5 linked regions of the Kluyveromyces lactis genome follow. The protein of the gene in region 3 purifies or fractionates together with the protein of the main gene of each other region. This does not show direct contact. Links are inferred from orthologs where the notes say so. Each region holds a gene or a part of one and is shown on either strand. Other genes may lie near its edges.

Region 1 (6,536 bases), about 400 kb from region 3:
CCTTAATTGAGATAAGATGAGATATATTATCCGGAAAGAAGAAGGACTATCTACAGTCCATTGGATTAACTGCAACTAGCTCCCTCTAGTCTTGCGTTGAGTGAGTGAGGAGTCCGCACTTGCTACTTTCCAAGTGTATATCACGTGATTTACCGTTTGCACGCATAAGATGACCAGCGGCAACCTGAGTGAGTGATTAACACGGACATATATTTCCGGCCATTTCCATATGCAGCCCTAAGCTCTTGTTGGGAACCCAGTTATGGAAAGAATGTGTCACGTGATCCAACCTTGCTCCCTCTAGTATATGTAAATTAAGTCGACAGACAATAACATATTAACTCTTGTAGTTACTGCTCTACATTTACACCTCAACATCCAGGAATTACCCCATAAAACAGTGTTTAATCTCCCTCTCTCCGCCATTCCATTTAAAGGATGAGATGCTTGGATCTGGTTAAACTTTAAAGGGTTGTTGATGTCATTTTCCACGATAGCCAATAAAATTACATCGTTGACAGTGATTTACAAGCTTATTGCAACTGAAAAAAAATTATCAAACTCAGATCGCTCATTCCGTAGAGAGGAACAAGGTCTAAATGATGACATTAATCATTGCTAGTTAACTTGTGCTTATTCTTGGATTTTAAACATTTCTTTGGAAGTCTTGAAGCTAAAGGAAAAAAAAAACTAAACACAGTTATGTCTACTTTAAACGTTTTGAGATACTCTGCTTTAGCTCTAGGTGTTGTTGCCGGTTTCAAGACTGACTTGTCTTTGAAGTCAGAAGCTCAAAAGCAAGAAGAACAAAACCAATTGCACGCTCAATTGAAATTAGTGGAACAAGCCAAGGCAGAATACGCCAAGTTGCACCCACCAAAGAAGGAAATTAAGGCTGCTACTGCTGGTTCTTCTGCCAAGATTGATTTGGAGGACCCTAACTTGGATTATGCTTCGGTCATCTTGAGCGCTGTTGAATCCTTGAAGCAATAAGCAACAGGACTTATGAAATAAGGAGAGGTGTGTTTAATTCTTCTTTTTTCTCTTTTGTGTAACAAGGGAAAGGAACTTGTATGCATAACTCCGAGCTGAAGCATAATAGAAAAATAAAAGGTTGTATTCTCTGTTTGAATTCTGGTAGTCAACAAGAAATGATGACAACAAGAGTTATATCTGCTTTCCTCGACTAAGAACGAAAGACCTCACGAATCCTTTTTTTTGTTACGATTAGATTTACAGCCAATACAATAACATATGAAGAAGAAACAGCCAAAAAAAAAGAAGATTCTATATATAGCCTCTAGGAAAATATTCAATCAGAGGCAGTCCAAAAAAACAGACGCACATGAACGCACGCACCATACACCGTATTATTACTATATAATTTATTATGTTACCGGGAATAAATGTTAACTAATGATCATATTCTTAATAGATTCGAACAAGCTTTTTAGTTTTTTTTATGATTTGCGTATGTTGCATTGATTTTCTACATTGCATATTATTTACATGAGGTATGAGATATTATTCAGACCACCTGAGGTTGTTGAAAAGTGTGTAATCATATATATCGCGAGAGAGACGAGGAGGAAATAAACTCTTTCTGGAAACTTTCATTTTTTTTTTCATACAACAGATCTACGAACTCTATGGAACACTCTCCCTTCTGGTAATCCGTATTTCTCTCTAATGTTTGCCACGTTAGAATCCCATTCTGATCTCCAAACATGAGCACCAACCGGGTCCAAGTTGTGGGAACGAACAAATTCTCTAATATCGAAGTTTTCTCTATCGACTGGTTCAGGGGATTCCAAATCACCATTCTGTCTGAATACCCATACAGAGAACCTTTGCTTGCCAACATTTTTCTCAGGTACTGGAGGAATGTAATCTGCAAGAATCTGCGATTCATTGTATTTTCTTGGATCTACCACGTTGTCGTTATAGTCTATCTTTAAATTAGTCAAACCGAACGCCAAAGTCGTCTTGAATGTATCATTCAACACATCCGGTTCATCTGGATTCACAATTACCACAGTGTATTTTTGCTTTTCGAAGTCGATACCGTTCTCGTACTCTTGAATCTTAATTGTTGGAACCATCGAAGTCGTGTTGGAGGACAAAATTTCACCAGGTTCAACCCATTTGTTCACACCAGTACTGAATGGGAAACGTAAATTAACCTGTACTCTTGGTTGTAAAGTAGGTAACGTATCGGGGATTACACTCAAAGTCTCTAGTCTTTGCATTAACAACATTTTTTCGTAGGATTCCCAATGCTTCAGCCCCAAACGCCTGTACACTGGAACAGCATAATCTATCACTCTAGTATCGTTCTCTAACTTGTCATGATACTGAAAATTGTATTGGACCTCTGGGTTATGCAATTCAGCCTCTGTTTCTAACTTAGCACGTACCTTGGCATCAGTCTCATTTTCTAGTTGCGAATACTTCTCTTCAGCGCGCTTACTCATAAACTCATAACTCAAGCGGAACATCTCATCAATATGTTCAGGAGAGGTATACTTCAAACGGTTCATCCTCCGCTTCAAAGACGGTGGACCTCGTCTTCTAACGTCATCGCTGTCGCCTTGAAAGATGTATTTCTTAATCGATTCTGATGCTAAACCAAGCGACTTGGATCTCTTAGAAAAGTCCGACCATACCCCGGTTTTCTCTAAACATTTGGCACTGCTGTGCAACCCTCTACGCAACATTCTCCAATTCGAGTTGTTAGTCTCTGAAACACCCTCCAATGGGATCCTACAACTGATTATTCATGTATCTTCATTGTCCGTTCATACTTAAAACTCATCTGAATCGTTCGAAATCGATTTTTCACCAAAAAATTTTAATGTGTTTCAGTCCGGGTAACAGAAGATCGTGCCTCTCGCTCCAAGTGGAAGTTCAGAGATCAATAACTGGTAAGCTTTGCCTTTGAGACTGCCATTCGGTTTCATATGTTGCAAATGACGCTCTTCTGATCCAGCGAACCCATCATATCCATCTTTCTTTGTATATTTTCTTCTTCCCTTTCCTATATGCGGATTATAATGATCATTTATGTTTGAAACGACGAATCTTATATGAGAATGCTCATCGCGACATTGTTTCAGATCTGTAAAGACAAGATGCCTCAACTTTTTCCTGGTATAAAGACCCTTTGCCAATCAGCATTGTAGGTTTACTTCTCATTCCCTGTATTATCCTGTATAATATTCAAAAGCTTATTAAATCAAATATGAACGGTTCAGAACCGAATTCTACAGAGTTAAGGCACGATGTCGAGGCAGTTACCATACTAATATCTAAACTTCAAGTTTACTCGCAGTTTGATACACAAACTCCAACAGAGAGAGCTTTTCCCTCTATGTTCAGCTCCGATTCTGATATAAGCGACTCAATTGACTCTGATGTCGGAGATCAGCTAAAGAGACGGTCTTCTTCAATACTGCGCAAAATGTTTAATAGGTCAAAGAAACTACTGCCAAAACTACACAAGAGGTGAAACGTATGAGCAGTTGTGCTGCTGGATAATGGAGGAGCTTCTCTTTTCATACTACTCCGTCTTATATCAAAATTTCTACGCTCACTTCTGAGCTTTTCAGCAGGGAAGGTAGAAAAAAATTTTGACACATTGACGAAAACAGATTGATAACACTTAAGACCTTTGATAAAGCTTTGAATGACACCTACTCTTTGATTTCATATTGGATTTTTCACTATATAAGACAACTGGGGTGATATATCCAGAGAACCAATTAGGTATTGGAATAGTTTATACCTGATTCACTGAAAGATGGCTGACGTTAAGATTCAAACTCTACCAACCGACTTTAGGGCCAACCATTATGAGATTGAATTGAGTGAGTTAGATGCTGAGCACAATTCATTTATCGGATCCGTGCGTATTATTATGTCCACTGTTAATGCCAATGACATGATTTCATTGAATATGAGGGACATTGAGATCGTTTCTGCGGTGGTTGAACTGAAAGAGGGGTCTGTGTCTTTGGGAATGAAGGACCATAGTTTCGATTTAGAGAACGATGTTGTTTCCTTGAAATTTCCGGAGAGTATATCTGATGATGAATTCGTGTTGAAGATCGATTATAAGGGTATGATTCAGACTAATATGTCTGGATTCTACCGTTCAGATTATACTGATTTTGTTACCGGTGAAAATAAGGTAATGTTTTCCACTCAGTTCGAGGCAACGGATGCTCGCAGAGCATTCCCATGTTTCGATGAACCCTCTTTGAAGGCAACCTTTGACATATGCATTATCGCGCATGAGAAATACACTGTGTTAGCTAATATGCCTCTGAAGTGCACGAAGAAATTGACAGAATCAGACCAAATTTCTTATAGATTCCATACTACACCATTAATGTCTACTTATCTAGTGGCATGGGCCGTGGGAGAATACGACTACATTGAATCTGAGACCGAAAAGAGTATATATCCTACCATTGAGAACTACAATACACAGGATGGCACTTCTTCTGGTTGTGGTAAGCTACCGGTGAAAGTGTACACAGCCAAGGGAAAAGCTCAACAGGGGAAATTTGCACTTGATGTAGCCAAGAGAGTCATTGATTTCTTCTCTGAATCTTTTGAAATTCCATACCCATTGCCAAAATTAGATTTGCTATGTGTCGAGACTTATTCTCATAATGCCATGGAAAACTTTTCGTTGATCACCTTTAGACCGTCTGCGTTGTTGTACGACGGTAACTTAGATGAACCTGATGCTGCTGCTTTACAAAAGATCGCATATGTTGTATCGCATGAAATTGCCCATCAATGGTTTGGAAATCTTGTAACGATGAAGTGGTGGGATGAATTATGGTTAAATGAAGGTTTTGCTACCTGGATCGGATACTTGGCTGTTGAAAAATTCTTCCCAGATTGGGATGTCCCATCCATGATCATGTTGCAATCGCATGAAGTAGCTCTTGAATTGGACTCCTTGAAAGAATCACATCCTATAAAAGTAGCGGTTCGTAACGCTAAAGATATAGATCAGGTATTCGATTCCATCTCGTATTTGAAGGGTTGTTCTATTCTCGAAATGGTAAGCGGTTATTTAGGACAAGAACTCTTTTTGAAAGGTGTTGCTTTATACTTGAAGAGAAACAAGTTCTCAAACGCAACAATGGAAGATTTGTTCAACTGTATTGGTGAAGTCGCTGATATAGAAGTACTGGAACGTTGTAAGAACTGGATTTTGACTATTGGATACCCATTGGTCACTGTGACAGAGTCTGAAATTGGTTTGAGTTTGACCCAAAACAGGTTCTTATCCACTGGTACTTGCAAACCTGATGAAGATGTTACAAAGTGGTGGGTGCCTTTGATGCCACTCCAGGGTGATTACAAGGTGGACTTTTCAGGAAAGACCACAGAGTTACCAAAGACACAATTCAACCATTTCAATGCCAATTCATTTGGCTTTTACCGAGTCAAGTACGATTCTGATCATTTGTTTCAACAACAATTACAAAATTTGGATAAACTTTCATCAAGAGGCAAGATGGGCCTAATCTCTGATGTTGAAGTAACAGAATGTGTCAAAAATCTTCTAACCTTGATATCAAAGTTTACCAATCATCAGGATCCTAACGACTACTATGTATGGTCAATTATCTTCGATACGTTAAACAGGATGAAATCACTTTTATCCTCTGATAAAGCAGTGAAAAAGGCGTTGGATAATTTCACTCTGGATTTAATTCAACCATCCATCGAAAAGCTATTGGAATTTCTAGACCAGCAGAAAACAAATTCTTTCAGTAAAAATCCCGATAATTTCCTAAGCAACCAGTTCTTTGAATTGATGGCTCTTGGTGCTGGTACTGCCTCTCATCCTGAAACTGTTGCCAAATGTAGAGAAATGTTTGAATCGAAATCTTATTCTCCGGTCTTTAGAAACGTTTTATTGCAAATAATTTTGTCCCAGCCGGACACAACAAAGGAAACACTAAAGACTATCCTAGAGGAATTGAATACATCAACATTAGTTTACAAGGAAAGTTTGTTGACGGCCTTGGGTAAGATTAAAAATGCGGAATTATTCGATACCGTCCTAAATCTACTATTAATTATTGAACCTATGGACGTTCAGTTCCTAGCGACCTCCCTCGGGTCCAATTACGCTATCCGGACGAAACTCTGGAACTTTATCAAAACCAATTACGTCAAATTGCATGAGAGATTAGCGATTAACACAGTTGTTATCGATAGGTTTTTGAGATTTTCAATGAAAGATTTGATGGGCGAAGATGTCAAGACAGATTATGAACTGTTCTTCGCTGATAAGAACATGGAAGGTTTCGACAGAGGTGTTAGACAAACGTTGGAAAGAATTGAGAAAAACACCAGGTACTTCGAAACAAACTTATCCTTGGTCAAAGAGTACTTTAAAATATGAAATATGGTTTGTACCAAATCACGTAGTTATGTATATTTCAATAAAAGCGATTACCATGAGTCGCATTCAAAATTGAGAAGTGCCACATTTGAATACAAATCAA
Region 2 (6,016 bases), on a different chromosome or scaffold from region 3:
CATCTTCTCTTTCATAGCTTTTAACTTGGCCTGGTGTTCGAGTTTTCTTTTGTTCAAAAACTCCTTGTACTTGTCAATGGTGACACGTCTTTGTTTTTTCTCATACTCTTCAAATCCATGATACTTGGTGTCACAAAACTTATCCCATATGGTAAAGAATGGTTGAGAAAAATTGGACTTGATACCAAAAGACTGATGGTGAATGTCGTGATACACTGCATTATTTGAAAACAACCACTGGAATGGGTCCAGGGGCAAAGCATATCCGCAATGATCGTCCACTGTTTTCAAAGTAGCAAAAGTGTATAGAACAACTTGTTCTGTATGATTTAATTGTGTCACGATTGCAGCAATGCCTGTACCCAAAGTGTCAAGGAGGAAACCTTCCACTGGGGAATTGTACAATGCACCGTACGCATAAGGAACATATAACCTATGATGACGTGAGTGGAATTTTTTGTAAAGTGTCTTATTCATATGCATCACCCTATGCAGCCAATACTGCCACGAATCTACGATACAAAACCCAATAAATATCCTTATCATAGACCATCCATAGCAATACATAAACTTGATGAAAACAGATGGTACGAAAAAGGGTAAAGATTGCCTCCATTTCCACATCTCATACTTCTCAAACCCTGAAGTCGGCACAGGATCCAAGTAGAGCATACCAAGTCCAGTAAATGTTTGAATGAAATGTTGTAATATCACCTCTTTTAAAACCTCTAATCTTGAGGCCTTATTCCGCTGTTGTACTTCCTCGCTTGGATGAATCCTGTACTGTTCGAAAACCTCATTGGTATCAATGTAATGGAAAAACATCGAATAAAGCCAATAAGCAACAACAGGTAGTGCTAAGGCAAGTTTCCCATCAGAAATCCAAGGCAAAATATCCTGTTTCTTCGTTATCACAGAAGCAGGTGGAGCTTTAGAATTCATAAACGACACATCCATAGCATCTTTCACCTGCAAATACAAGTGCTGCACTGCACTTTCAACAATATTTGCCATAGTTATAAAACCGATACAGCACACGCAAAATATTGTATCTCCTTATCCTCGAACTGTATCCGACAGAAAACAGCTCCTCTCAAGTATAAATGGACTTATAAGTTTTGTATGACACTGCAAATATCAGTTTGTGTATCTGATTTCGTATCTTGCTTCGTATTTTATATAGTTGCTGTCTCTCTTCAGTATGATCAAAAAAAAAGAAACAGTAACTCCAGAATAACTTTTTACCTAATCTCAAGCCTTACCCTTTCAATATTATTGCAGCCTTCTTCGCTTGGTATGCCAACATTAGCCTATACGCTTCGTATAAATACAACCACTGATCTTATAACGCAATACATTTATAACGCAATTCTGTATTCTCGACACCATGTTATGCTAGAAAAACTAAGAAAAACCCGAAGCCTCTAAGGGAAAACAGGATTGTCGTTAAAGAAACACCAGAGAAAACCAGAGAAACGGTGTTAAGGTTTCTCAAATTTGGTCATGTGACATTTTTTTTGCTTTTTCTTTGGTGTCCGGGTTCCTGCTTCTTCTTCCGTTAGGCGTTAATGCATGCATGAGACACATATGGTATGAAGCGGTAGAAAAGTAGAGGAAGTAATATGATGATTACAGAACCTTTGATATTTAGGTTACGTGATGATGGAAACAAGGGAGAAAACTGCTAGTAATCACCTTGTCAAATCAGTTAAACGCCGGTAGTGAGCTGAGGGTTTGTTTATATTATTTACAGAGTCGGATTGTCTGCGGGTTATATATGTACATGTAGTGATTTCTTAAAGACGTGACGAGTGAAGCAGTGAAAGATCTGAGCTCGGCTCAGCTTTTGCAACTGGAAATAGTTTGTATTTGCTTGTTTTCTTTTGTAACTCATAGAGAGATGTTTTGAGCAGCTGACTCCTGTTGTCTCACTCTTGCGAACTCTTCTTTGGCTCTTTCGCCTAGTTCTTTCAAAATTGCACTTTCCTCTCTGGAAACGTTCCCCAAACGTTCTAGTGTTGTGTGATTCAACTCTGGCAATACTGGGTTCCAGTATTTCTCTTTATCCCCCATTCTCCATTCGTCTTCCCAATGGACCTTAATGGACGATTGGACGTCTTTCAACTTTAGGAGACATTCTCGCAAATCGGCAACCGCTTCTTGAGAGTATGTTGGTCTGTATTGCGATGAGTACCATGTGTGGCCGGACTCATTCTTCTTTCTCATGTCTTTTGCCTGTTTACTGAATGTCACATCACGGAGATATCTTAATCTGCACAAATTCTGGTATACTTTTACACTCTTGTCGTAGTCTGGTAGATCAACAACAGCCATACATTTCCAAATATCACGTCTGGTGCTTGGTTTCTTATTCTCCCAGTTGGGTCTTTGGAAATTGGTATCAATTTGCTTCCAAGAAAAAGTCGGGAATTGAGAGTACAGCACTTGTCCACTCTCTAGGTTTCTGAATAAAAAGACTTGTGGTGCATACCCTGCTTTCTGTAGCCAGTTGGCTGGACGGAACTTGGTAATAGCTAAATGCTTGCTCATCTCTTCCTAGTGCCCTATGGTGTCTTCAAGCCTTATTTGTTAACAACAAAAGCCTTGATCCTCAGAGTTCTCTTCTATCTCCAGTGCTATTGATGGACTTCTGAAGAGTTATTTAAATACAATGTGTGCACAAATGTGGTGATCTCTTCTGTAATCAAGCTAAACTAACTATCAGCTTTCTCTTTTTCAAAATTTTTCAGCTTTTTCAGATGCCATAAACAACTTCGTAGAAACACTGAAAATTAAAGAGAATGAACCTAATATATACATTACCCGGATCTTGTGATGATATTGAATTCTCCGCTACCTGCTCTATCTTATCTTGGATCTCATCTCCAGAGAAAGGTTTTCCTATCAGCAGACACGCACAGTAGAGTTATCACCTTCATCCGTCAAGTGTCCGCATATTCCACCATCTAGAACTTGATGTTTGAATTGAATTATGGAGCCGTTCCTACGTCCCGGACAGATTGCTTAGCTAGAGTTCTCGATTGTGGAGATGATAACCGTGGATCGATAAGTGCCATTTGTGAGCCGGACTTGACAATTGACGGGAATTCAAGCCTAGCAAGCAGTGAGAATTATACCAATTGTAAAATCTGTGGAGGGTTTGCGAATTTTTTATGTTCAAGAGATTCACGAGCTGGGTGGTTTTGTTCTTTTTGTAATGCTTATAATGAACTAGGGAATATTCCATTATCATCGTCATACCTAAAACATTTAGGAACTGCTGCTGTGCCTACGCATTCCAAGTTCGCCATAATCATCGATCTTAATTGTGAATTTGAGGAAAATCTAGACGCGTTGAAGATGTTACAATTTGGTTCTGTCCAGTCATTGGCCCTGATCACGATTGAAGATGGGTCTGTCACTATTCATACTGACGGGTCACACATTACCGTAGATGCAGAATCTAGTAGTTGTATCAGCCATCTTAAGAAGCTTGACACAGAATGGTTCATTGCAAAGTATGGGCTTTTAGTGAGGAAGATTTGGACGGACCAAATATCTTTCGGTGCTAAACTCGCGGAACTTCTATGTCAACGGACTAGGTCAAAAAAAAGATGTAGAAGAAACACTGCACTCGCTATTTTTCTAGCACAATGTCTAAACCCATCACAATCCATTGCATTTGTTTTCGGACCCTGTACAGTAGCACCAGGTAAGGTTATCTCAATGGACCGAAAAAATCATATCAGGCAGCATAGAAATATAGAGGAAGACAAGGATGTGAAATATTGGAAACCTTCTAGAGAATTTTACAATAAAATGAGTAAGTCCTTAAAGTTTGCTCCATGCACGGTATTCGTCGCATCCATGGATCAGGTCGGAATATGGGAGATGAGATCCTGTTTGAACAACTTTATTCAATACGAATCCTTCAATGATAGAAATTTCATATATGATTGGCAGGCGTATATTCAAGGGAAAGGATGTTATGAAATAACCAGAATTGTTATCAAAACTTCTAACAAGCTATTACTGAATGGGATCTTTGGTCCAGTCTCATCCTTGAAAGACAAGGACACACATGTATCTGACACTCCAAAGGGCTTTGGAGGGTCTGGAACCTTCCGTTACAAAGGGCCAAGTAGTAATCTACCATCAATTTTGATAAGTTTATCTGTTGATACATCTCGCAGCGCTGCTGAAGCCTTGCAAGAAATGCCAGATAAATTTTCCTTTCAAATGGAATGCTACTATAAACACTTGAATCAAGAATACGTTTCTGTAGAAACGAAATTTATTCCCAGTACAACCTTACCAGGTGAACATCTTTTAACCCAAAATTTCCACTGGGATATAATGGCTGGATCCATAATGAAAAAAATATCTTTCGCTGTCTTGTTTCAAGGCAAGTTTTATGATTACGATCTAAGGTGGTGGACGTTAGAAATAGTAAAACTTCTTAAATCATTGAATGCCATCGATGTTCCTGGCATTAAATCCTTACAAGAAGTAACGTACTTTATGCAAAGATCAACTCTCTTAAGGAAGAGAAATACATCGCCTGACGAGTGGATCGTCTACCATTGGACAATTCTGAATTCCCCTTTAAGTCATATATTCAAGATGGTTAGACCCCAAGTGTATTCGACCACAGGGCTTATTCAAAATACAACTGACATCCTTAATTATGCCGAACCTTTATTGGTAGATGGTGGTAACGTCCTTGTGGTACGAGATACTTCAGTAGGAGATAGCAGAGTTGACAGTTTGAAGGCAGCTGCTGATACCATATACCACGATGGAAGTCGATTTCCAAAGCCTTGGTATCGAGAAACCAAGCCAGGTGCTAGTCAGGATAGATTTGTAATTGCACGACTAGGCTTAACTGCAGAACATTCTTTGCATTCTGATGACCTCACGCTTGATAAATACATGGCACTGTTTAAATCAAAAAGTACTGCATGAAAAGTATGTAATCATTCATTTTACCTCTCAACAGATATCATGAACTCTATATATATATAACCAAAACCAAAAGGTTAGAATAGTTCCCCATTTACTGTCGCAACCTTCGAATCTATCGCTCCCCCTTTGAATAACAATTGTATGGCAGGAAAAGATACTATGTACGTATTCCTTGGTTTCTCCATCTGTCGCTTTTCAAAAATGACATATTTCATTTTTTAAAAGATACTATATAATTAAATCTAACCATTCTTTCCGAATAGCACATTAAAAGCCAGAGTCCAGAGGAAAAGAAAGAGAAACTGCAAGCGCGAGCCATTGGGTCGTTTCATTAGGGAAAGAAAGATGAACTCCACTTCCAACCGGACTCAGGTATTTTATATACCTGTTGGCCTAACTCAAGTTCAGAAAGATTTGTTGGAAATTTTAATCTCGATACATGCAGAGTCGTTTGTCTCATGTGTAGATAAACGTCTACTGCCAGAACTACAATCTAAATTAGAAAAAAAAGGGACAAATCTCAAAAGAGACTTGAGTATGACTGCATTAACAGATGTTCAGTTAACTGAATGGTTCTTCGAAAATATAAGAGCTGTCTCGAATCACCCTTGCCTGTTAGTTGAGCATTATATGCCTAGACAGTTTTTGTTAATGGAACCAACTGAAAGGTTGATATACACCAGCGATAAATTTGGCAAGTTAAATCTAATGGTTGATCTTTTATTGAATCGTAAGGACAAATCGAGGCCATTGCAAGTTGCTATCATTTCACATTCTGTGAAAGAATTGGATTTGATTGAAGGCGTCATGTTGGGAAAAGTTGCAAAGTTGAAGAGGTTATCTGGAACTTCTTTGTTTGACGAAAAACATGAATATGACGATCAAACTTCTGGTTCAAGAACAACCAATGGTGAAAATTCATCAAGTTCTGGTAGCGTAGCTCCTGAGCAAATCGGAAAATCGAAAGATGAATACAACTACTCTAAGTCAAGACGTAAGAATAACATATCTCAACTTGACTGGTTGTTTTTGGCAACAACCACACATTTGA
Region 3 (5,586 bases):
ATAGAGTTCCCCTTTAGTGCCACTGCTCAGGATAAATTCGGTATTACAAAACAAAACTGCAGAAGAACTTTCTGAAAGGGATTGATAGACCTGCTTCATATTGTGTTGTATACAAAGGAATAGAATTATAAAGTAGCTACTCGGTGTTTTTACGAGGATATCAGTTTTTTAGAATCGATAATTAGAGTTAATCAGGCTCTGATATCGATATCGACAAAGCAAAATAATTAGAACCAGACCACAACGTTATTGGAACAATGTCATCGTTAACTAAACTGTTACAAGAAAAAAGAAATCAGGAACCTTCGTCAAAGTCCGCTCTAACGAGTTCTTTGAAAGGTTCCTTGGCAGAATCAAGAAACTCCAATTCACAGTCTCATGCTGGACATCCAAACGGAACCGTGGTATCCAGCCCGATGGAAATAAGGGATGGTGCTGGTGGTAGTGATACAACCGTAACACAGGTTGATTCAAATGACGATGGATCTCTGGAAGCGTCATATGAGTTTTCTCAATCTTTTGTCAATGCTAATTCAGCTCATACTGCAACCATGTACGGCTCTTCGGTGCCAAACAGATCTCGCTCGGGCTCCATCCTTATTTCAAGCGGGAAATTCCCACAAGATACCAACGGAAGAGGTGTACCAGGAAGACTTGGTACAAGTATTGGGAGACACACCACTTCGACAAGTGTCATTTCGAACAATTTACCATCGCTTTCATCTAGTATACCATACTCGGCACCAAATTCCAATACAACAAACGACTCAACTGTTAATAGTGCCGAATCCTCTGCATCTTCCTCGTGGCTGGATAAGCATGGGTCGTTGCCCAGTAATATAGCTGCCATCGACTCAAACGTGATCTCTTCGCCAAAAGTTGAATCTGTGGAGCCCAGATTTGTCATTTCAAAACAGAAACTACAACAGAAATCAAATATGAATCATGACACCGGTAAGCCAGTGTCAAGATCGAGTTCGTTATCCTCACAGCTAGGAAGTTTTTTCTTTTCGAAAAACAAGGATAATGAACCGAGTTTAGTAGCCTCTTCGTATGGCGCTGGCGTCTCTCAGACCAATAACTACTACAACAACTCCAACTCCAATAGTAACACGAATTCCAACAATAACAACAACAGCAGTGCAATCCCTTCCTCCTCGACGAGCCATGGTTCATCCATTCCAAAACCCATTAGGGCTAGAGCATCGTCCATTTACAATTCATCAAGACAACCTACTGCCTCATATAATGAGCATGTTTTGGGGTCTCCGCAATCATTGCATGAAAACCTCTCTCAGAATCAATATACTCCAAAATCTCGTCACAGCTCCGTTGCTGATTTGAAGAGATTCTTTAAAAAACACGGTAACTCCTCCGCTTCATACAGTGAGTCTCCACCAATCAGTGCTAACTTTTCAAATGCAAGCGGTGCAAGTGCAGGATTTGCGCCTGGATCATTGGGATCCAATGACGTTGTGTACGCTGCTTCGCATGTACCTGCATTACCATTCAGTAAACGTTACCTTAAAACTGGGGAAAATTTGGGTGCCGGTGCCGGTGGTTCCGTTAGATTAATGAAAAGGATCAGTGATAACCAAGTCTTTGCTGTAAAAGAATTCAGACCAAAGTTTGAACACGAAAGTAAGCGTGATTATGTGAAGAAAATTACTTCTGAATACTGTATTGGTACAACTTTACGTCATCCAAACATCATATCCACTATTGAAATTGTTTACGAAAACAACAGGATCTTCCAAGTCATGGAGTATTGTGATTATGACCTTTTCGCCATCGTCATGAGTAATAAGATGTCGTATGAAGAAATCTGTTGTTGTTTCAAGCAAATCTTGACCGGTGTAGAATATTTACACAGTATTGGTCTGGCGCATCGTGATATGAAGTTGGACAACTGTGTAATAAACAACCAGGGTATAGTGAAGTTGATTGACTTCGGTGCTGCAGAAGTCTTCTCCTACCCCCACTCAAAAACTTTAATCGAGTCAAGTGGCATTGTTGGAAGTGATCCATATTTGGCTCCCGAAGTTTGTATATTTACCAAGTATGACCCAAGACCTGTTGATATATGGTCCGTTGCCATTTTGTTTGCATGTATGGTATTAAAGAAATTCCCATGGAAGATACCTAAGTTAAAGGATAATTCCTTCAAATTCTTCTGTTCGGGAAGAGACTGCGATTCCTTGAGTGCTTTAGTCACAAAAACACCTAAACCGCCAAGTTATGACAATGCCGTCCAATCTGATGAGCCAGCTGAGAGCACATCTAAATCGAACAACCCATCTGATCCAAACAACACGAATATTGGTCCTCAAAGACTACTTCATTCCTTACCGGAAGAGACCCACCACATTATCGGTAGGATGGTAGACTTGGCTCCTGCTTGTAGAGCCAATATTGAAGAAGTATTAAATGACCCTTGGATTCAATCCATTGACATGTGCACCGTTGAAGTAGACAACCAAGGTAACTACGTCGTGCACCCTGGAATGGACCACAAACATACCCAAGTTGATCAAAGCGAAGCCCACATTGCTGGTCTTGAAAAGAAAAAAAAGGCAAAATAAATTAAGAGAGAGAGTAAAACTAGCAATCCGGCTGAGGTATGTTCTACAGCATGTTTTATCAAATAAGAGTAACTCTTCTGAGACGACATAGACTTCTAATTGTTGTGCAATCGTTATAAATTATCTCTCCTGTAAAAGTACACAAATGTATAAAATATTTAAGAACAATTCTTGGCATTCTCATAAAATTAATGCTTTATAACGTTAGCAACCTTTGGCATGAAGTCGGTACACATCGCAGCATATGGTTCTATTTAGCAGACAATGAATTGTGCTTATTAGAAAGTGTATAATGGAAAACAATGTGCGGGTAATAACTTCAAAATTTTCTTTGGCCTAAAAAATTCTTGGAGATATGCCAGATTATAAGCTGGTAAAAATCGATGGCTTAAAGTAAGATGTGCATTCAATCCGATCAATTGCCTCGAACAAAATATCGAAACAGTAAGTCCAGGAAGCGCCAAACAGGACCATGTCGAAGGTTCTTAAGAACGTGATAGTCAAACTTATTGTCGGAGCAGGTCAAGCTGCGCCTTCTCCTCCAGTTGGTCCAGCTTTAGGGTCTAAAGGTATTAAAGCTATTGATTTCTGTAAAGAGTTCAATGCCAGAACAGCAAACTTCCAACCGGGTACTCCGATTCCAGTACTCATCAATATCAAACCAGATAGAACATTTTCGTTTGAAATGAAAAGCCCTCCTACTGGATATCTTTTATTGAAGGCATTAAGTCTTGAGAAGGGACACGGACAACCAAATATCAGTAACCCTGATAATGTATGTGGTGAACTGTCGTTAAAACATATATATGAGATCGCCAAGATCAAGAAGACCGATGGAAGACACGCTGCTCTGGAACTTGAAGGAATCGTAAAGTCTATTATCGGTGTTGCTAAGAGTATGGGTATTAAGGTAGTTCCATAAACTGACTTTTTTTTCACTAATCAAAGCATCGATTTGTGAAATAGTGAAGGTCTCGATGGAGAGTTTCATTCCAACTGGTTTATTAGCATTTGTAGACCTCATTTCGTGTACATAAAATAGAATAATGAAAAGATAAAATTATAATAATATATCAACTACTATAGATGAAGATGTATATGATGATCCAAATGAACTGAAACCGAAGTGAAAAAAGATGAACTGAAGTCAGTGTGAGGTAGATGCATGTATGACTGTTTACAAAGAAAGAATGAACAAGGATGCAAGTGTATTGTAAGCCGGTAGTTTAAGGAAAGGGTTATTCAAACTTATGGGGAAATCCTTCTCTTCTTGTTTTTTTTCTTATTCTTACGTTTAGAGTTGTTCTGCGATGATGAGTGTGAAGATGGAGGTCTTTGCAATTGCGGAATACCTAGATCAGTAGATTTATTGGAAGATTGAGAGGAAAGTGGGACCGATTTTGGTGTAAGTCTAGTGTACACTAAGAAGTACGCGTTTGGCTCTTTCAAAAGCTGTTTTTCTGAAATTTTATTGATGTATTCGTCGTCATATGTGGCCCAACTTCCATCTGGTTGCTTACAATGTGCGATATAATGACCGCTAGATAAAGATCGCCCTTCATGCACAACGACACTAATTAGTTGGTATCTTACGGGTAAGGAGCTGATTGATTCATGGCAGTATTCCGTTAGATCTAAAAACATTGGATAAGATACGGCCTGCTTCATTTTGGATGAAGATGTGCCATTAAATCTGAACTTTTTTAAATGAACCACTAGAGTCTCTGGAGCACGAATAATCTTGTTTGACTTTAGCGCGTTAGTAACTTTCTTACATTTCTCACATGTATACCCTTCTTTGTTGTCCACTCTTTTGATTAACTCAGGATTGAAGAAATCCCGAATAGATTTTTCAATTGAAAACCTTCTCTTTGAAGATTGCTGTTGATCAACAGAGTTATCAATTGAATTATCTTGACCAACAGAGTTTTGATCTTGATCAGTTGTCTTTCTACCCTTTAAATGCAATGAAAGATCGTATATAGGTTGTTCAGTGGTTGAAATCTCACCACAGTTACTGCATTTAACTGATTGTTGTAGTAATCCACCGAATACATCGTAAATGATGGATTCTGTCATTTTATGGCCCTTAGGAACCGAGTCCTCTTGTAAACGTGACATTAAAGACATAAAATATTCGTGAGAGTCCTCTTGGTTCCAAGCGCTCATCATACAGTTAATGTCTTCCAACGCATTGATTAATTTATCAGGATTAATGTACGTATTTTTAGTTGAGTCAGAAGACCACATTCTCATCGTAGTTTCCGCTAATAACATGGAAACACAGTTAGACTTAACGGTGTCCTTGAAATTTCCACGTAGTAATTGAAATAAATAGTGTTGAATTGCTGGAATATGAACCATGGCTTGCACAGCAGCGTTTGTGTAACATGTGACACCATGGTTGAGTAAACCCCTTGGTTTCAGCTGGGTCAACTTAGAGCCCCAATTCTTAACTATCCTCTGTGGTTTATTAGAACCATGGTCATTAATCGACTCGTTAAATTGGTAGAAGCTTGACTTGTCCTGAAGAGTGGTAGGAGGGGTAGGTGATAGAGGTTGTGGAGATTTGTGCTTCAATTCTTCATCCTCTTCCTCTTCTTCGCCATTTTCCTCTTCTTCAGGTTTGCTCTCAGAAGCAGCCGCAGTTGAAGATGAAGACACTCCTTTGAACTGACAAGAAGAAGCAGCAGCATGTTCAGTAGCCTCCAATTTGAGTTCTTCCTTTTCCTCTGCAGAAACATCCTCGTCATTCTCGTCATCCTCGTCTTCTGCTGATGCAGAAGAAGCGTGGAATGAACTGTCATCACTATCTTCATCTTCATCGACATTTCCAGGCTGCTCAGCAGGAGCAGCTAATGCCAGCGATGGTTGAACGAATTCATTAGCCTCATGAAACACTTCATCCTCATCCTCATCCTCATCGTCGTCATCAGACGACGAGACAGGAGCAGAAGTTGCAGCAGATGATGAAGAAGCGGAAGAAGACCCAGAACCCGACATT
Region 4 (6,183 bases), on a different chromosome or scaffold from region 3:
CCTCCCACATGTTGGATTTGTCCGAAGAAACTGATGAGGAAAACATTGGTCTATGTGTCAAATACTTCACCAGAATGGCCAAGATCCACCAATGGTTGGAAATGGAAATCGGTATCACCGGTGGTGAAGAAGATGGTGTCAACAACGAAGGTACTTCTAACGACAAACTTTACACCACTCCAGAAACTGTTTTCTCTGTCCACGAAGCTTTGTCCAAGATCTCTCCAAACTTCTCCATTGCCAGTGCCTTCGGTAACGTCCACGGTGTTTACAAGATCGCCGCTGCCCTAAAACCAGAATTGTTGGGTACTTTCCAAGACTACGCTGCTAAGCAATTAAACAAGAAGGCAGAAGACAAGCCATTGTACTTGGTCTTCCACGGTGGTTCCGGTTCCTCCACCAAGGACTTCCATACTGCCATCGATTTCGGTGTCGTAAAGGTCAACTTGGATACTGACTGTCAATTCGCTTACTTGTCCGGTATCAGAGACTACGTCTTGAACAAGAAGGACTACTTGATGACCCCAGTCGGTAACCCAACCGGTGAAGACTCTCCAAACAAGAAGTACTACGACCCAAGAGTCTGGGTTAGAGAAGGTGAAAAGACCATGAGCAAGAGAATCACTCAAGCTTTGGAAATCTTCCGTACTAAGGGTGCTTTGGAATAAAGTTCTTTTGTTTAGTACCATTATCCCAAACAATTTAACTTATAATTTTCTATATACAATTTAAATACCAGAACGCATGAAATGATCAAATGAAGACATCTGAACCATTAGTTACAAAATGATTGGCAGGGATCCGCTGTGCATCGGATACGTTCACCAGTGTTATCCTTGGACGCTACCGAGGACTTACCTGTTATCGAACTGCATTTGTCTTTTTCTCTCACGTGATCGACTTTGTCTCATAGTCCAGTTTGGCTTAAATATGAAAGCAGAGTTAAAAAACATAGGAACAGTTACAATCAAACAAAGTCACGTTCATAGTCCCTTAACACAATTACAACTCCAGAAACAAATACAAGAAACAGGGAGGACTCAAAGCGATGGATTTTTACTCCAATCTCCCGGTGAATTTACAACAACCGACTTTATTCGAAATACTCTCTGTCAATGAAGTGAAGAAGTTAATCAAACCAACTTTAAGGTATATTTTCTCCATTTATCTCCAATATAGAGGACCAACACGATGGCTGTTGAAGATTTTTAATAAATTTGACTTCATAATCTTGGTGATTAAATCTTTGGTTGAATACAGACATTATAAAACAACAGGTGCCACAATTCTTGACAAGTTCTATGGATTGAAAAGGTTTTCTAGATTCCCTAAATTAACCTTTCTAGGAATTTGGTTGAATGACTGTTTATTCGAATACGTTAGTGATATCTGTGAACAATACCATGAGCTCTTGCAGTCCAGAAAATTGACGAGCCCAGAATTGAGCTCATGGCAACAATGGTTTGATGCCTATTATCCTAAGCTACAGAAGACTATCAAAGTGATAAATTTCTGTTTCAAATTAAAGTACTTGCGTCATTCAAAAGACACTGATATGATCCATTTCATAACACAAATAAGATACCAACGATACCAAGAACCCGAAGAAGGAATTGCAAGTAGGAAAAATACTTTAACTCTTTCTGAACGTCGTCGTAAAAGAACTAATTTACCCAGAATATTAGCTATGACCAAGGATGCAGTGGAGAGCACATCGACCATGTTCTTGGACAAGTTATTCCCGAGCTTCCTAGTGATGATCAGAATTTTACAAATTATCAATCAGCGGCCTGAATTATTCAAGAAAGAGATACGAGTAAAGAGACCAAAACCTCCAGTACTACCTGGCGTAGCATCAGAGGTGGATAACAATGATACGACTGACGTATGTCCCCTATGCGGCGAAGAAATAACAGAACCTGCCATGATTTCATCTGGATATGTCGCTAATTTAGAGTGTGCCAAGAAATGGGTAAGCACAGAAAATACATGTTTCGCGACTGGTGTGCCCATAGATAAACGCATCCGTAAGTTATTAATATAGTTTTGCATTAATTTAGTAAATGAATAATGAGAATAATTGAGCCAGTAGCATTAGAATAATTCTGCATTGGTTTCCATTTGATTGAACATCGTTTGCATCATCATTATATCAGATTCCAGCCTAGAGATTTCTGAATCTAAGTCTGGAGCCGATGTTCTACTGTATCTTAGCTTTAATAACCAAATTTCTTTCAAGATTTCATCGCTTGGTCTATCATTATCTTCAAGATATTGAATCATCCTATCCAAATGATCTTTTAAATCACGTTTTAATAGTTTTAAATCGGAATGATCATCCTGAATTTCTACTCCACAGTTGATTAGCTTATAAGGATATCGTACACTCTCATGCCATTGTATCAAATTGCTAGTTTCAGGGAAGTAATGGAACTTGGATTTAATAATGTATTGTTTCGAATTCAACGACTGTAACATGTCATCGTAATCGTAAATGTCCGGGTCAACCATTAGGATTCCAATTGGATCAGAGGATTTCCAGCTGAAAAGGCTGAGCTTCGTATCAACGTTTCCAACTCCATCACACAGAAAACACTGTGATGCTATTTCATTTTCCAATACAAGGATAAATAGTAACGGACCTCCTTTACTTTCAATGATCGTCGAATTAACTTGCAGCAGAACTTCCTCCTTCAAATCCATATCTTGATCAAATAATGCAGAACAGGATCTAGCTATAAATAAGGCAAGGCCTCAAGACACAACTAAGTTTCGTACAACCTCCTTTTTTATTTCGTTCGAGTACAACAGTGTATGAATTACTATTATGTATTTGTATATTATATTTACAGGGAAAGAAATCTTTAAAAGTTGATCTCAACTGAAAAGGATTATGTGGAAAACATACATTGCTGATGCGGCCTGTCTATACTAACACTTCGCCTTGGTCAATAACGACATTCTGTTGGCCATGCACTGGTTCGTAACAGTACCATTTCAACAAAGCGTCTGTAGCGGCTCTGGCTTTAGCTTCTTTCAAAGATGAACCGTAACCCTCGCCTAATTTCTCTTCACCACTGAAAACGCCAACGATGAACAAGGGTGATTTAGACAATCTACCGTTTTCTGCAAGTAGTTTCGATACCGGTCTTTCCAATCCTTGGCGACGGCACAAAGCTGCCAGTTCTCTGGTTGGTTGTTCGAACGCGAACAAATCTTTAACGTCCAGCTTTCTGGACAAAATATGATCTGCGATAAACTTATGTGTCTGGTTGAAATCTTTGTCGACACTGTATACAGCGGCGAATATACTCCTTACGGCAACTGCCATAGCATTGTTCTCAGTGAAGTTATGCAATTCATCTACGGAATTTTGGAAATAACGTAGTTTACCCAATGTAATGGTAACATTTTCTTTCTTTGCATATCTATCCACTACACTTTGAGTTTCCGGTTCTATACCCCAGGAACGACCGACATTGCTCAAAACATGGTCGTTAATATATGCATCCACAGCAGCATTCAAAACCACACCCGGTAGCCTAGGATATTTTTTCATTAGCTCGGATGTAACTGCCAAAGTTAAAAGACTCTTACCAAAAATGTTCAAACTGACATTGTCATAGTTCACTTCCCCACTAGAACGACACGTCAAACATCTGGACAAAAGAGAATAGGATAAGCCTTGAGGCAATCTTAATCTGGAATGGAGTGCAACTAAATTGGGGCTTGTTAGTTCATGTGCAGGGTTCTTTAACAGTGTACTGATGGTATTCTTATATTCTTTCAATGATGACAGTTCTGATTGGTACAACCTGGCACAAGAAGCAAATCCTCGCACTCGCACAGGGTTCAATAGCTTCAAAACAGACATCCTTCTTTAACCCCCCTCGATGGTGATGTTGATTGCTGTATATATCAATGGCAAACCTCACCAATAGCTCACTGCATCACTCAACTTCTTTCCATCCTCTCTCTGTAACTCTTTCACTAAAATTTTTTTTCAATATTTCGATACTGAGATCTGCAATTACCCGGATATAGTAGACTGTTGATGTTTTCCGAGTAGTCACGTGATAATAATATGTTTTCACAGACATCTCATTATTCCAGATTCTTTCTGATACGGCGCACTTATGCTATGGATTGTCGATGAATCGGTAGCTAAACATATTTACAGACTATTCTAAACTACCATAAATTGCAGTTGGAATCGTAATGGTAGTCTACAAGGATCCCACTCTCATTTGGTTCAATTTTTCGCAAAAAGTGATGTTCAGCCCAATGTTGCGACGGTTTTATAGTGTTCCAGCGACATTTTTCCATCCTACAGTGTATGCATTATCAACGCCATCAAATCAGCACTCTGCAATAGCTATAATTAGGATATCGGGTACACATTCAAAGTATATCTTAAAAAAATTGTCGCCAAAAAAACCGCTACGGCAGAGGAAACCGATGATTCGGTCATTATATGATCCCAAGGCATCAACTCTGATAGATGAAGCGTTAGTCTTGTACTTCCCACAACCACGGACCTTTACAGGTGAAGATTTAGTGGAATTGCATCTACATGGGGGGAAAGCTATTATAAAGGCAGCGTTAAACTCAATCCAGGGTTTGCGGGACTCTGAAAGAGATATTCGTATGGCGATGCCGGGAGAATTCAGTCGACGAGCTTTCCAGAATGGGAAAATGGATTTGTTGAAGCTTGAAAGTATCAACAATATGATTCATTCAGATACAGAATTACAGCGATTGTCTGCATTGCATGGCAATCAGACCGTAGACATTTTCCATGAATGGCGACAAGAGATTATAGAGCAGATCGCTAAACTAACTGCAATTATTGATTTTGGTGAAGATATCGAAACGGAAGATATCGATTCTATAGTGAATGGTGCCAATGATAAACTTTTACAACTATACAAAAAAGTGACTCGATTCATGGTGAAATTAGATAGAATGGCTGTCTTGAACGATGGGATAAAGTTAACATTGTTGGGTGAACCAAATTCCGGGAAGTCATCATTAGTTAACGAAATATCTCAAGACGACGTTGCGATTGTCAGTGATATACCGGGCACCACAAGAGACTCTATCGATGTAATGATGGACATTAACGGTTTTAAATGTATCTTGACTGACACGGCAGGGATCAGACAGGGAACTTCAGATTCTATTGAGATCAAAGGTATTGACAGATCCAAAAAGAAAAGTTTACAAAGTGACTTAGTGGTATTGGTCATTGATGTATCTAACCCAAATATAAGTAAACATTTTGAAGAATTTATCAAGGATAACTTATCTGATAAACCTTTAATTGTCGTGTTGAATAAATCGGATTTAGCTACTGAAACCCAGTTAAAATACTTAATTGAAAAGTTCGATGCAGAATTTAAAGCCCTGAAAATTCATACAGTCTCTTGCTTAACCAAAATTGGATTGGAACCATTAGTTAAGACCTTGACATTAAGTTTCAGAAGAATCTCGGCAACTGAGAATGAAGATCCAGTCACCGTGTCCAATAGAGTCAAAGAAATTTTAAGCACTGATATTCTATTCGGCCTAGATCAGTTCTTCCAGCACAAGAATGACGATATATTAATAGCTTGCGAATCACTTAGAATAGCTTCCGATGGAATTGGGAAGATAACTGGTGATAACGTTGACTTGGAAGAGGTTTTAGACGTTGTCTTTTCGAAGTTTTGTATCGGCAAGTAATTGTAAATAGTTTTCCCATTCATCTGCCAATTCTTCCAATTCTTGCACTTGCTTTTCTAGTTTATTCAATCTGCCAGAAAGCCGTTGTTTCTCATCGACCCAATCACTAATGCCGTCATCTTTCTTGATTTTACTCTGTAAATATTCTAGTTTACCATAATTTTGTTCAGTCTCTTGCTCAAAACTCGACACTCCAGTTGCAGTTACGAAATCAATTCTTTGCTGAATCCCATCCACCAATTCTTCGAGTTTGGATTTCAAAGCCTTTCCCCTCATTTTAAAGCTTTACGTTCAGACAAGTGGTCTATGACACCTGTGTAAAGACGATCATAGGATTTTGATGTGTCAATATTCCTTTAAATTGATATGAATATTTCAAGATTTTGAAGTTTTAAACAATAAATACCTTAAATTAACATAACAGAGTTGAACATCCACGGACAACCAACGAAACAGTAG
Region 5 (6,533 bases), on a different chromosome or scaffold from region 3:
TGGTACCGTCACTAGACATTACAGACAACACCAACAGGGTAAAGAAACCTCGACAAACTCGATCGCCTCGATTTTCGCTTGGACCAGAGGCTTGATCCAAAGGGGTAAGTTGGATAGCACCCCAGATGTGGTGAAATTCGCCGAATTGGTGGAATCTGCTACCGTCAACACGGTTCAAGAAGATGAAATTATGACTAAAGATTTGGCATTGATCTTGGGTAAGACCGACAGATCCTCATACGTCACTACCGAAGAGTTCATTGAAGCTGTTCACAAGAGATTGGACTCCGAATTTAAATCATCATTCAACTAGGAAGAAGAAAGCTAGCCTTTCCCTATCCGATTTACTGCTACATTATATATCCATAAGATATATAGCCTTAAAAACAATATTTATATATCTTCTTCCCCCATAGAACTGACACCCCATCCGTAGCCAGGAGAATTAAGAGAATATCAATTAACCTCCGTTGGTCCACATCACGAGTAAGCATCTGGACAAAGGTGTCCAGTTTATCAATCCAGTTTATACCGTTTCGGCCCTGTTTCGCTCGTTCGCGATGACCTGAATTGGAAAAAGAATTTTTTTTTTTCACTCTCAATATGACTCAGCTACACCATTCAAACCTTTGATCCACCGTTCCATCCTTCTATGAAGCACTTCTCTCATCTGCTTTTGTTCTACTTTCCCCATATATATAAGTTATAAGTGGGTTTTTATATCTGTTTCCACTGTGTATATTCTTTCTTGGTTACACTTCGTCTCTGTTCCACTGAAAGGTTAACGAACTCAGTCGAAAACCTTCTTTAAGCAATGCTAAAAACTAGAGTGGTTCCTCTAGCATTGAGAAGCTTTGCCAGAGCAAAGTCTTCTTCGACTTCGGCTCTTGCTTATAAGCAACTGCATAGAAATAAGGCAAGACCTCCTTTACCAACGATCGAAACTCCATCTTGGTCTACTAACAGTGCCATCTCATCGATCCTATATGAAAATCCAGTAATCTCAAAGGAGCCAAAGAAACAACATGTTTTGAACTGTTTGGTTCAAAACGAGCCAGGTGTTCTATCGTTAGTCTCAGGTACTCTAGCTGCAAGAGGCTTCAATATCGATTCCCTTGTGGTCTGTAACACTGAAGTGAAAGATTTATCCCGTATGACCATTGTGTTGCAAGGTCAAGACGGTGTCATCGAACAAGCCAGAAGACAAATCGAAGATTTGGTACCAGTATTTGTCGTGTTGGATTACTCTCATTCCACCATCATAGAAAGAGAATTGTTGATGACAAGAATCTCTTTGTTGGGTGCTGAATACTTCGAGGATTTGATTCATCACCATGAACAAGATGAAAATACTGATACCGTTGAAAGAATAAGACAACAGCAATTCCATCCTTCCAACCTTCCACTGTCCCAAGTATTGAGATTGAAGCATGAACATTTAAACGACATCTCTAACTTGACTGGTAACTTTGGTGGTAAGATTGTTGATATCGCTGAACAAAGTTGTATTGTGGAATTATGTGCTAAACCATCCCGTATCTCTGCATTCTTGAAACTTGTGGAACCTTTCGGTATCTTGGAAGTGGCAAGATCAGGTATGATGGCTCTACCAAGAACCCATTTATCTGTCGGTGATGAAGATGATGCTCAAAGCAAGATGAATGACATCGTTGATATCTCTCAATTGCCTCCTGGTTGATCCAAAGGGCTCACCTGCCATAGTTTTGTACCTCAAAACAATCCAATATCAAAAAAATAGTAATGTAAGAGTATGTTTTGGATTTTGTCTCACACATATAGACAAATTAAATACGTTAACGATATAATATGGAATTAACCTTTCCAAATGATATATAGTCTCTAAAAAACTTTCGTTTTTTTCAGTTTAAACTATGATGATTGTTGTGGTTCTTTTGTTAATATGTACAAGGCTCTAAATGGTTTGTTACGTAACGACTTGGGGAAGATTTACAATTTGCTCAAGAAATCGGTCTTTGGTCTTGTAATGACATCTATCGTGTTTTGTTCGTAGTTGTAACGTCTGGTGGTTAGATTTTTCTTGGAAGGTTTGAGTGGTTCTTCCAATTTCTTCAATTCTGTTTCTGGTTTCACTGGCTTCAAGAATTTTCTGCGTAGTCTCACCTCTTCAGATAACGTCAAGAAGTTCTTTGCATCAGTAAACTTGGCTAGTACTTGCTTCTTACTGTTCTTGTCCTTAATATCAATTGCCTTCAAATCAGTAATTAGTTGTGTCTTTAGAGTATTCTTTTCTTCTGGAGAAATGTATTTAGTTAATTCAAGCTTGTTGTTAAATGACAATGATTCATTCAATTTGGTCGAGACCTGTTTCAACAATGTTAGTTTGTCGTCCAACTTAGATTTTTCTTGGTTTCTCATCTTCAATTTAAGTTCTTGTTCCAAATAGTAGTACGAATTAAATCGGGCATCGGATTCATTGAACCCATTCTTCAAACAAGTTCTCCATCTGAGCAAATATGGTAATGCAAACGCAAGTTCTTGTTGATCCAGCTCAACTTTCAGATCTGAAATTATCTTGCTGTATTCTGCCTTCAACTCTTCACGTTTAATCTCACGTTCTTGCTGTTTCTTGATCAATTCATCCTTCAGCAAATAAATCTTTCTTGGTAAAGCGTTCTCTTCTGCAATGGCTTTCTCTTCATCCTCAATGATGGCCTTGCCGAATCTTCTCAAACGTGGTTCGAAATGCGGCAAAGGAAGCTTTACATCCTTGTATAATGATACACCAATGAATTTCTTACCTGGATGAAATGGATCCAAATAGTATCTCACATAACCCGGCTCCAAAGCGAAAAGCGTATGATCTTTACCGATGCCTACATTTTCACCAGGATAAAACTTGGTACCACGTTGTCTCATGATGATCTCACCAACTTGAGTGGCTTGACCCTCGTATTTTTTTGGACCCAATCTACGACCAGCAGAGTCCTTCATACTGGTACGAGAACCTGCTGCACGCTTGGTTGCAGTACGCACCTGCTGCACCACAAACTTGGGAACTTGTTGCCACGAAGATGAGAACATTATGCGTTGTTTCGTAGGCCTGGTCCGAACAGTATCAAGCAATGTCACAGTAACTGTATTTCTGCGTGTATCTGTACTTAATGTATTTAAGATAGGATTTTAGTGACAAAAATTTTCCACAGTATGGCGGATTGTAAGGTAGGGTAACAACGAAATCCAACAAGATATAGCCCTTCGAAGGTTCGTGTAACTGACTGTTTAAGAGTTGAAAGTATTGATTTATACATTTTACCAATTTCATCTATTGCTGAGAGTTCTTTCGATACCATAGTGAATTTTTCATGCTTGAGAAGGAGTAAACGTCTAATTCACGTCAAAGTTATTCGAAACTGAGGTTCCAATTAAAGATCTACCATCACTATATACGTTTTGATGTTCTCTTCCAGCACGAAAAACTCATATTTCTCTAAGTACAAAACATCAAGAAACCGACACTGCTTGCATCGAAAAGAAGTCTTCACCTTTCAGATTTACGTTTGAATAAACAGGACGTCCATTTATAGAAGTTTCCCAAATTAATTATCGTGCTGGTGAAGCCCATATTATCTAATTGAAATAGGAATACTAAGAACCGACAGCCCATAGATAAAAAAAAAATAAAACAAAATATATCAGTGATTCTAGCGAAAATGGCAACGGAAGATAGATGGGGTCTTGCCGTGACTCAATTACAAGATCTATATAAAATAGGAGATATTGCGGGGTTTGAGTCTTTAGATCCGAAGAATATGAATTTCCAGAATATGAATTTGAATCAATTGGCTGATATCCATGAGAAATTAGAGGCTCGTCAGTCTGTAAATGAAAAGATGAGAAATTACTGCAGAGATTTGGTAGAGAACATTTCATACATATTAGATAATTATCCAGTGGAAGAGGAACCTATATTAAAGGAGGAATCCAGTTCGACGCATATCCCTGAATCGAGTGTTGTTGGTAGATCACATTGGACCAGTCAATTCAACCCAAGTGAACCAATTGAGGTTGGTTCCGAAGTTGCATATAAATCTAAAAAGACTGGCGAATGGATCCAGTGCATATGCACAAAAGTTTCTGGGGACGGACTCCGGTTTGAAGTGAAAGATCCAGAACCCGATGAATTTGGGAAACCAGGTGGTATATTCAAATGTAACTCGAAAGAGATCCTCTTGATCCCGCCCGTGACTATGAAAAGAACCCAGACTCCGAATTATCCAGCGAATACAAAAGTTTTGGCAAGATATCCAGAAACAACGACTTTCTATCCAGCTATTGTTTGCGGAAGCAAAAGAGATGGGACATGTAAGCTACGATTCGACGGTGAAGAGGAAATAGACAAGGAGACTGAGGTGGAAAGAAGATTAGTTCTTCCTTTCCCCTCTAGACGATGAGTTTCTTAATTATATCACGTTCACGAAATGTATGTAATTTTCCATAGCCTGTAACAATAAAGAAAAAAAAATTATGAAAGAACATTAAATAAACCGTATCACATTGAGATAATGTAGGAACTAGTAGCGGTGCCTGTTTGTGATTTATCGCATCAGACGCGACAGACATTAAATACCATAGTTCTAGTTTCTTATTGTCGAATATTTTGTATATGATTCATGGTGTACCTTTTTAACAAAGTGACACTTAAATCAATAACAAAACTGTGTTTTGTGCTATTGTTAGTGAATCTGGTTCTAAAACTGATGAAGGCTCCAATTTTGCCTTTATTATTCCGGATATTAACCACCTGCCCAGCGAACAAAGATGTATGTATCTTTTGGTGGCAGAAGTATTCGATAGTAGAACAATGGGTATGGAGGTTGATTGATTATATTGATTCAGAGAGACTTCAGGTTCCACATGAACAAGTTTAAGTCACCATTTCAAAGTACATCTAGTAAATCGTGATTGCTTTGCAGTAATAATTTTGTAAGTGTCTCTTACAAGTCAGTGAGATATATAAATCTGTATAATATTATGTTTGTCATTACAGAGGTTGGGTTTGTGCTGTTGTTCTAAATATCAGTGTTTAGCTCAACACCACCAACGGTCCAGATTTCATTTTCATCTTCAAATCTATCAGAGAACATCGCCTCGGCATCTCCACCGGCTGCAATCTTGTCTCTTTCAACAGCAGCTAGTCTCTTACCAACTCTCTTGGTGTAATCTCCTAAGGATCTTAGTTGCAAAGTGTCACCAATACTGTTTTGTATGGTGGATCCTTCGAGTTTCGAGAACCAGGAAGTGAAGGTTTCCAAGTTTTCTTCTTCAACAAGATGGAACATGGCTAAGTATGCCTTTTCTGCAGCCAACTTAATTGGGATCACTGTGTCACGCAAGCACGAGAAAACAGATGGAGCGAGTAAATCGTAGTTGTTTTCGATAGTTTCAGCGTACTTAAATCTTGCAAGCGTTCTTACCACGACCAAAGCCAATCTTCTACTGTCTAGAGAATTACTGTTAGGTTTCAACATACACTTAGCAAGTTGAGAAACTAGGCTGTTGATATTGTCTGTGCCAAGATGGAAAGGTTCACTAGCATCAAGTTTGGAATAAGGTGTTCTTGTTTCGCCTTCTAATAATAGAGTCTTACCAATTGCGAGTAATCCATTATCACTGAAGTAAGCATTTGATGAGTTTGTTGCATCAATTATGTAGTTAACACATTCATCAATTAGTCCAGTGCCAAAAACATGTGATGGAGCATCTTTCAAGAATGAGTTTAGGGTCAAAATACCGAATTTACCAGAATCTTCAGTCAAGGAGCTTTCTAACACCTTGCTTTTCAATATTGTTGCAGCTTCCTCGGTTGATAAGATACTTGATAAGGATCCGATTAATTTCGCGTAGGCCACTGCGAGCTTATCATTTGCAGATAACATTTCTTCTTCGATCAAATTTAAGATATTGGTTTTTGAGGTTTGGTTCAATTTGGAACCTGCCTTTGATACGGCTTCCAATAAAGCCTTCAACATAGCAGTCTTAACACCATCATCATCACTTTGCTTAGCACCTGTTACCAGTTCGACAACCAATGGATCAACTCTAGGCTGGTATTCAATTAAGGTTCCTAATGCCTTGGCAGCACGAAGACGTAATACCTCATTAGTTGGATCGGACAAAGATTTGACAAACGTTCTTTGCAACTGAGGAATGAAAGGTCTCAACAACTGAGGAATTTTCGCAAATAGGATATTCAAAGCATAAAGGATAGCTGCCTTGATGTCACTATTGAATCTTTCTCCAACAACACGAATCAAAGGACCAGTGATAACTGTAACATAGGATTTCAAGCCTGCTGCAGGAGTCTTGGAGACAATATCCGCAATGGCAAGGGCTGAAGCCTCACGTTCGTCACCAGAACCATACATTAAACCATGTAAAAATATTGGTAAAACACAACTTGGTCCCTTTGGCAATTTGAAAGCAGCTAAATCTTCCCCTTGTTTACCAGTCATTAACAAAGCCTGTTTAGCTGGTTTGATTAACTTCTCGAG

The links.
Region 1: the proteins of MRPL19 (region 3) and MRPL35 purify together in Saccharomyces cerevisiae (affinity purification with mass spectrometry; 3 studies listed by BioGRID). This does not show direct contact. The link is inferred for Kluyveromyces lactis from reciprocal best matches to the Saccharomyces cerevisiae genes MRPL19 and MRPL35.
Region 2: the proteins of MRPL19 (region 3) and MHR1 purify together in Saccharomyces cerevisiae (affinity purification with mass spectrometry; 3 studies listed by BioGRID). This does not show direct contact. The link is inferred for Kluyveromyces lactis from reciprocal best matches to the Saccharomyces cerevisiae genes MRPL19 and MHR1.
Region 4: the proteins of MRPL19 (region 3) and MRPL3 purify together in Saccharomyces cerevisiae (affinity purification with mass spectrometry; 3 studies listed by BioGRID). This does not show direct contact. The link is inferred for Kluyveromyces lactis from reciprocal best matches to the Saccharomyces cerevisiae genes MRPL19 and MRPL3.
Region 5: the proteins of MRPL19 (region 3) and MRP7 purify together in Saccharomyces cerevisiae (affinity purification with mass spectrometry; 3 studies listed by BioGRID). This does not show direct contact. The link is inferred for Kluyveromyces lactis from reciprocal best matches to the Saccharomyces cerevisiae genes MRPL19 and MRP7.

The regions. Positions count from the first base shown.
Region 1 is NC_006040.1:1,117,126-1,123,661, reverse strand, and holds MRPL35 (mitochondrial 54S ribosomal protein mL38), read right to left. Parts: upstream 2,718-6,536; coding exon 1,626-2,717; downstream 1-1,625. Other genes in the region: TIM11 (F1F0 ATP synthase subunit e), read left to right, coding at 703-993; KLLA0_D13079g (uncharacterized protein), read left to right, coding at 3,242-3,508; KLLA0_D13068g (M1 family metallopeptidase), read left to right, coding at 3,800-6,433. UniProt on the Saccharomyces cerevisiae protein: Component of the mitochondrial ribosome (mitoribosome), a dedicated translation machinery responsible for the synthesis of mitochondrial genome-encoded proteins, including at least some of the essential transmembrane subunits of the mitochondrial respiratory chain.
Region 2 is NC_006039.1:892,046-898,061, forward strand, and holds MHR1 (mitochondrial 54S ribosomal protein mL67), read right to left. Parts: upstream 2,551-6,016; coding exon 1,891-2,550; downstream 1-1,890. Other genes in the region: SUR2 (sphingosine hydroxylase), read right to left, coding at 1-1,014; GTPase-activating protein NEL1, read left to right, coding at 2,977-4,965; HDA2 (Hda2p), read left to right, coding at 5,311-6,016. UniProt on the Saccharomyces cerevisiae protein: Component of the mitochondrial ribosome (mitoribosome), a dedicated translation machinery responsible for the synthesis of mitochondrial genome-encoded proteins, including at least some of the essential transmembrane subunits of the mitochondrial respiratory chain.
Region 3 is NC_006040.1:714,216-719,801, forward strand, and holds MRPL19 (mitochondrial 54S ribosomal protein uL11m), read left to right. Parts: upstream 1-3,054; coding exon 3,055-3,504; downstream 3,505-5,586. Other genes in the region: serine/threonine protein kinase NPR1, read left to right, coding at 258-2,582; ubiquitin-specific protease UBP10, read right to left, coding at 3,831-5,586.
Region 4 is NC_006041.1:684,516-690,698, forward strand, and holds MRPL3 (mitochondrial 54S ribosomal protein mL44), read right to left. Parts: upstream 3,875-6,183; coding exon 2,927-3,874; downstream 1-2,926. Other genes in the region: fructose-bisphosphate aldolase FBA1, read left to right, coding at 1-668; PEX12 (ubiquitin-protein ligase peroxin 12), read left to right, coding at 1,049-2,044; KLLA0_E07613g (uncharacterized protein), read right to left, coding at 2,095-2,703; MSS1 (Mss1p), read left to right, coding at 4,219-5,724; KLLA0_E07679g (uncharacterized protein), read right to left, coding at 5,686-6,000. UniProt on the Saccharomyces cerevisiae protein: Component of the mitochondrial ribosome (mitoribosome), a dedicated translation machinery responsible for the synthesis of mitochondrial genome-encoded proteins, including at least some of the essential transmembrane subunits of the mitochondrial respiratory chain.
Region 5 is NC_006042.1:1,138,543-1,145,075, forward strand, and holds MRP7 (mitochondrial 54S ribosomal protein bL27m), read right to left. Parts: upstream 3,064-6,533; coding exon 1,969-3,063; downstream 1-1,968. Other genes in the region: isocitrate dehydrogenase (NADP(+)) IDP3, read left to right, coding at 1-313; ILV6 (acetolactate synthase regulatory subunit), read left to right, coding at 815-1,699; SGF29 (Sgf29p), read left to right, coding at 3,693-4,433; GCN1 (Gcn1p), read right to left, coding at 5,052-6,533. UniProt on the Saccharomyces cerevisiae protein: Component of the mitochondrial ribosome (mitoribosome), a dedicated translation machinery responsible for the synthesis of mitochondrial genome-encoded proteins, including at least some of the essential transmembrane subunits of the mitochondrial respiratory chain.